Caenorhabditis elegans: one gene and its partner. The protein of the gene in region 1 binds, or shares a complex with, the protein of each later gene. Each region holds a gene or a part of one and is shown on either strand. Other genes may lie near its edges. A codon is read from its position in the direction of its gene.

Evidence for each region.
Region 2: the proteins of ins-6 (region 1) and zig-4 are in contact, whole or in part, in a crystal structure (PDB 8TK9), measured with the Caenorhabditis elegans proteins. Residues at the interface, in NP_495198.1 of Caenorhabditis elegans: Pro60 (codon at 1,977), Glu64 (codon at 1,989), Thr65 (codon at 1,992), Ala67 (codon at 1,998), Cys68 (codon at 2,001), Arg70 (codon at 2,007), Lys71 (codon at 2,010), Leu72 (codon at 2,013), Ser74 (codon at 2,019), Leu75 (codon at 2,022), Ala78 (codon at 2,031), Val79 (codon at 2,034), Cys96 (codon at 2,139), Cys97 (codon at 2,142), Asn99 (codon at 2,148), Gln100 (codon at 2,151), Cys101 (codon at 2,154), Ser102 (codon at 2,157), Asp103 (codon at 2,160), Ile106 (codon at 2,169); in NP_509335.1 of Caenorhabditis elegans: Lys47 (codon at 2,023), Val49 (codon at 2,029), Met70 (codon at 2,092), Val106 (codon at 2,200), Thr108 (codon at 2,206), Gly109 (codon at 2,209), Ile110 (codon at 2,212), Asp169 (codon at 2,439), Ser170 (codon at 2,442), Phe172 (codon at 2,448), Thr175 (codon at 2,457), Trp221 (codon at 2,595), Met224 (codon at 2,604), Gly225 (codon at 2,607), Thr226 (codon at 2,610), Glu241 (codon at 2,655), Phe243 (codon at 2,661), Tyr245 (codon at 2,667), Pro246 (codon at 2,670), Thr247 (codon at 2,673), Ala248 (codon at 2,676).

Annotation. Positions count from the first base shown.
Region 1 is NC_003280.10:5,998,694-6,001,641, forward strand, and holds ins-6 (putative insulin-like peptide beta-type 5), read left to right. Parts: upstream 1-1,742; 5' UTR 1,743-1,799; coding exon 1,800-2,058; intron 2,059-2,112; coding exon 2,113-2,192; 3' UTR 2,193-2,316; downstream 2,317-2,948. Other genes in the region: ins-5 (Putative insulin-like peptide beta-type 6), read left to right, coding at 1-7, 58-143. UniProt on the Caenorhabditis elegans protein: Probable insulin-like peptide which negatively regulates synapse development at the neuromuscular junctions. Probably acts as a daf-2/InsR agonist ligand to prevent dauer formation under optimal environmental conditions.
Region 2 is NC_003284.9:7,923,658-7,927,302, forward strand, and holds zig-4 (Zwei Ig domain protein zig-4), read left to right. Parts: upstream 1-1,776; 5' UTR 1,777-1,811; coding exon 1,812-1,880; intron 1,881-1,953; coding exon 1,954-2,326; intron 2,327-2,376; coding exon 2,377-2,696; 3' UTR 2,697-2,938; downstream 2,939-3,645. UniProt on the Caenorhabditis elegans protein: Required for maintaining axon position of PVQ and PVP neurons postembryonically in the ventral nerve cord (VNC) by preventing axons drifting into the opposite side of the VNC that could occur during body growth and movement.

The DNA of each region.
Region 1 (2,948 bases):
CAACCACGTAAGTTTATTCAATTGAGAATAGCATTTCAACTTAACATCATCTTTCAGAAAACGGAATCGATGTCGCTCAAAAATGTTGCTCCACTGATTGCAGCTCCGATTACATCAAAGAAATCTGCTGCCCATTTGACTAATTGGATCCCAGAATAAGAAGAAGAATCAAGTTCATCTACACACCTACCGTCACCCTCCTGAAACCAACCTAACTCATTATTTTCCTCTGTTTCAACTATCTCATATTTCCAATTCTATCTCAACAAATTTCCGCCTCCTCCTTCTCTCAAATTTTCCTATACTTATCAATAAATAATGGTAACAAAAACTGTTCAGAACTCAAATTTTGCAGATTGCCAACTCAACTGGGAAATTGAAAAAAAACAACTCACGGGCATTCAAGGATTTCAGAACTTTATTTCAGACGGATAGGAAGCTACAAAGTTTTCATATGAACTCAAAAAGAATCGTTCCAGTTTGGTGTGTTGACGCGACAGCATGGCCGGTGGGTGTAGGAGAACCAAGCCGCTGACCGTCAATAGGCGCGGTTGGACTCGGAGCAGATAATCGATAAACGCGTATGAGCAGCAATGTTTTTGTGGGAAGGAATAACATATCACAATTATCACTTTCTGAATTTCCAGTATGTTATGTTTTTCAGATGTTTTCAGATGAAATTTTCTTTAATATTTATCCCGCCAAATTCTTTTTCCTTAATTCTTATTCGGAGTTGGACATCGTTATAGGGCAGATCATAATTTCCGTTTAAATAGGATACTCTCAAGAAATATCTGCCAATGTTCATAAAGAAATGACGTTTTTTTTACTACCCATCTTTAATAACATTAAATTTAGTGTCTTAGTTAGCCTCAAACAAGTCTAAACCCACAGAAAATCCTATGAAATGCTAATTCAAAAATACTGCGGTAGAATTTTCCGGCCAATTGTTGAGCTACTACAGATTAGCAGACGATAATTGAGTAACGCTGATTTTTCAGAACAAGTGCTCGAATGAACGTTCATAATTTCCTCAAAATCTTTTTTGATAATATTTCTTCTATTTTTTAATTTGTTTCTTTTGAAAAACAATTTTCAAAATGTGATATGGTATTTGATCGCGTTAGCTTTTCGCTTTTGGTACCAATTTTTTTTTCAAGTTTGACCCGAAAAAAAAATATTTTGGTTCATAAGTTGGATCAAAGTTAGGTCAAACGTGGGAGCAGCCTGAACCAAGTAGTGTCCGTCTTTTTCTTCAACTCTGCAAAATTTTGCACCAAATTAATATTTTTCGGCCAAACTTGGGCAAGAAGTTGCCTCCAGACCAGGCGACGCAGATCACTATTTTGAAGTCACATTGTTTCCTCCTACATTATCGTACTAATTTTTGATTAAAATTCTCATGAGAGTTCATTATTATTTTGATTAATTAACTTTCAAAATTTCCGAATTTTCTCCCACATTTCCATTGATATCCGTTTCTCTCTCATGCACTATAGCTGCATAATGAATCAGAATTATTCTTGGTTACCAAGAGCTCAGATTCTGTAGCAATCTCAATTGCTGGGTTTACCCACCCCTTCGTGATGCTCCGCCTATTGCACTTTATGATTATACTGATTTTTAGAAAGAGAAGGGGCGTGGCACGTGGCTTACGCAAAGAGATGGATTCGGGGGCCCCTCCCAACTGGAAATTAGTATAAATACTTAGAATATTTAAAAGTTATCATCGTCTTCATATCTTTTGACGAGTATCTAGCAACTCCCCGTACTCATTTTCCGTTATCCATATCATTATAATGAACTCTGTCTTTACTATCATCTTCGTTTTGTGCGCACTCCAAGTCGCTGCAAGTTTCCGTCAATCCTTCGGTCCTTCAATGTCTGAAGAATCAGCAAGCATGCAACTTCTCCGTGAACTTCAACACAACATGATGGAATCAGCTCACCGACCAATGCCACGAGCAAGACGTGTTCCAGCACCAGGAGAAACTCGTGCCTGCGGAAGAAAACTCATCTCTTTAGTCATGGCTGTCTGTGGAGATCTTTGCAACCCACGTAAGTTGAATTAAATGTTTACATAATTCAATTATTTATTTCTTGAACTTTCAGAAGAAGGAAAGGACATTGCGACTGAATGCTGCGGAAATCAGTGTTCTGATGACTACATAAGATCTGCTTGTTGTCCATGAATTTTTACCTTTACTCCGATATCAGTCTCTGTACCATACAATCTCGTTTTTTTGAATCTCGTTTCACCCGTGTCTCATCAAATCTGTCATCCCAGTGGCTTGTACAATAAACCTTGATTGAAATAGAACTTATTTCTTCGTTTGTTTACGGAAGTCTATTTCCATGCGAATTTGGGTGGTTGAAACTCGGGTTAATTGTTCGGCGAGTGCCAAAATGAGCAGTGCGTTCTCTTTCCGCGTCCTTCATCCACTCTAACACTTCCGCCAGTTTATGCTGCTCTTTGAAGATATCACGTGACTTTGAGTAACACCTGTCAATGGAGCCGGCCAGAAATCAAAAGTGCGTTATCATTTGCATCTTCCGATTCGATTGTTGCCGAGTGCATTGTGTAGTGCAAAAAAATCAGAATCCGGTGACGGGGCAGCTGATTGATGAGTCTAAAGCTTTAGAGAGCCCGACACACTCCGGAAGTTGAAGTTACCGAAATTTCAGATTTTATTCGCAGCAACAAATGCAAAAACAACAGCAAATAACTATACAAAAAGAGCTTGAATAAAATTATGTTTTTGCTATTTCGTTTTACGAAGAGTCGTTCGTATTCTAATTATCACTTTGCTTTACTGTTATTTCGACTACCCAGAAATACATAGTTGTATGGAATTAAAAATTCACTGACTATGGTCAGTAAGTTAGATGTCTGCGTTTAGGCCTTAGGTGTGTATTCAAAGAGCATTCAAATTAAACTAGCTTACAAA
Region 2 (3,645 bases), on another chromosome or scaffold:
TTCAGGTAGATACGTTTTTTGACAATAAACAATAGTCTCGGTTAAGTTTGACCACGGCCGAAAACAATAATTGCCCAAGTCTTGCCCAAATTCAAAAAACAAGTTTTACAAATTTTTAAACCATGTTCATATTTTTGGGCAAAACTTTGGCGCGCAATTGTCGACTGAGTGAACAATGTTCTACTGTCAGTCTTGCACTTTTTTCGGATTTTGAGAATTGTGGTATGTCAAGATTTTTGATTACTCAAGAAAAATATATTAATTCTAGTTTCTACGTGTGGATCTTTTACAACTTTTTAAATTTTGTGCCCCTTAGTCACTTAGCCCAACTTCTCATGACCAGTCAAAGTTCAACAAAAATCCGGAAATGAAATGCAGTGGAACTAAAAATAAGAAATGCATAGTTCAGAAGTTTTTGAGCATTGACCGGATGGGCATCAGTGAAGTGAAACCTAGCCAGGCTCGAGTTTTTTTCAAATACACACGGTGCGTGGGTCGTATAAAAATAACTTTATATTGCGGGTTCAAACAGACTACAAGGCGTCTAGATAAATGTGGGGGTCTGTAAAAAATTTAACCGTGCAACGTCATTCGAATTAGTTCCAGTTCCAGTTAAAGTTTTAAAGGGGCGAAGTAGCTTTTCTGCTTTTTTGAATAATTTGTTAACTTTAAAAAATCCCCAAATTATCAAACCGCTTACTGACACAGCGCGAAAACATTTTCAGCTAAAAAAAGCAAAAACCACAACATGCAAAAAGGTTGCTAATTAAATATAAACAATTTGACGACCACTGCGTTGGTATTATTTTTAGAGTTTCCTTTAATAAAAATTGATATGAAAAATTTTTAGATGTCTTATAGTAAGATGCGCGAGTTGGATATTCAATTTAAAAAAACCGATTTCCAAACTTTTGTTTGCGACCCTACCCACATTTTAGCAAAATTCCTTCTAGGATCAAAGGAAAATCTTTTTGATTTTTGATAATTCTACTATGACTCGTATATGAAGTTCAGTCTTTAGTCTTGCCGGAAGTTCAACATTCAATTTTAATGTACATCCGGAATGAGGTATACTTTAAAAATTATTACGTGAACCCTATTAGGCAAGGCAAATCTTCTCGTCTGAAATAACTTTCACTAAAAATCGAACATCAAAGTCTTAACCACTGTTCATATTGAGTTGCAATCCAATAAAAAAAATTATTAAGAGTAACACCGAATGATATTTTCCCAGTCTGTCTAGACTACCTATTTAAAAAATCGTGCGAAAGGTTACAGGAATGCAACTATAAAGTTTTATTCTATGAATATCATGTCTATTCTTTAAAAAAATCCATCTGTTGGGTTATCTCATTTGCAGGTTCTTAGAAGTTTCTAAAAACTTTATATTAATAACGCCTACTGCTAATGGCTGTTCTAGGGACAATTTTTATAGATAAAATTCAGACCAAATACTATGGCAGAAAAATTAGATTCTATGTAAATTTGCAGTCGTTACGTGATTTGCTACGATTTTTCCCAGTATCACCTAATTACGAGCCATCCGCCGTTTTTGCTTGACTGGTTCCTCCAGTTCTTGATCAAACTCGTACGAAGCACATTAGGATGTTCTCATCCGACGTCATAATCTGCATATGCTTAGATCTCCGCCCCTTCACAGAAGCAGAAGAAGACAATGGGGCGGGAATGCATATACGGATAGAACTGACTCCCGCTCCATTTAGGCCCGCCCTCTAGTAGCGGTCCTATAAAAGGCCCGTTCAGGAGTACAACGACAACACAGTTCATTCAATTGTTTGACCTCCGGTGGAATGTTCGCTATTGCCCTTCTCTCATTTTTAGTTGTCCTTATCAATGCACATCCTCCAATGCATGCGGAAGTAAGTTGAGAGTCCCGATTTTATTTTATTGTTTGATTCCAGCAATTTAATATCTAAATTAAATTATTTTCAGATGCACTCAGCTGTTGTTACTCTAGCTAATGAGATAGATACAAACTATCTCACCTCGCCAGCAAAGATAAAAATCGTGGCGCCATTGGAAAGCGCGCTGATTCCTGGAGGAGAAACATATCAATTGCGATGTGATATAATGTCCACTCCTGCTGCTACCATTCATTGGAAGTTCAATGGAAAGTTGATCCAGGGAAGTAATGAATTGAATGTCGAAGAGAAGTTGCTGAACTTTGGAAAAGCAATTGTTGACACTGGAATTGTTGCCTCCATACTCACCATCCAGTGCCCATCAGCTGAAAACTCAGGAACATACAGTTGTGTCGGATACAATGGACATCAAACAATAGAAACGGTTGCCGAAGTCGAAATTGGTATGTTGTATAAAACCTGAAGTAATTTGGATAAATATTTAATTTTTCAGAAGGAGAAGCTTCGGGGTGTAGATCAAATCACAAATCCGCACCTGAAATTGTTTTCTGGACTGATTCTCGTTTTGAGATGACTGGAAACGTGGCCACCCTTGTCTGCCGCGCAAATCAGCAAGTCGACTGGGTATGGATGTCCAACGATGAGCTTGTAAAGAACAATGACAAGTTCACGGTTCTTTCAAATGGAGATCTCGTTATCAAAAACATTGTATGGGACGATATGGGAACATATACTTGTATAGCAAGAAACCAATTTGGAGAAGCTCGCCAAGAAACATTCCTTTACCCAACCGCGAAAAAATCTTCTTTCTAAATTTATCACTTTTCACTCATTTCATAATAATTCCGCGTATTTCCCAAAGACATTAGAAATGTCACAAAACATTGTTTTCACGTTTTCCCTTCTTCCCAAAAAATGCTCCATTGTTCGAATTCAACCGATCTTTGATTTACTAGTATGTGTTCTCCCCGTGAATCCTTTTTGATATCCTATAATTTCGTTAATATGATTCTCAGATTCTCAGACGAACAATGAATATTCCTCCTTGTAAAAATGACAATTATCTTGTTAGAGACATTCACAGACAGGTTTCAAAGATATTACACACAAGTTTGTATAAAAATCTGAATAAAAATCTGAGTCATCTTGGTTTTCGGGCGGGGTAGCGCCATTGAGGGAATTGTTAAAAACACCTCCTATGGTACCAAGTGTTATTGTTAAACGTTTAAAAACTGTCCTGAAAAATGTTTATTGATAAGTCGCAATTACTGACTACTGAGTGAGTATTTGCCATATTTTAAAAGACGTCAATAAAAAATTTTCCTCTAAATTTTTTTCATTTTTTTAATACTCTCCGCAAATTATGAGCCTGGAGAAAACGTAACTTGTGAAAGTTTAATGTTAAGAAATAAACGTTGATGAAAGTCAGCATTTTGTGCTAAATTTTATACATACAGTGCGCACACCCCTCCAATTTGGAGGATTTATAGCGTTTCAAGATATTTTTTTTAGAAAAGTGTTAGTTCAGTTTGATAGCAAATGTTGAAAATCTATGCTCCCCAATTCTTATAATGATATCTCAAAAATCACGGAACGGTCACAATATCGGAAAAATGGCAGTCCAACTTCTATAGCACCACCTCTGTTTTTTGACAAATTTCGGTATAATCGGGGTTTTCTTCGTAATTAAATAATTTATTTTGTGAATAACTACACACCAAACTTCACCAAAACTTTTCAAAAATGTTTCACAGCGGCTCCA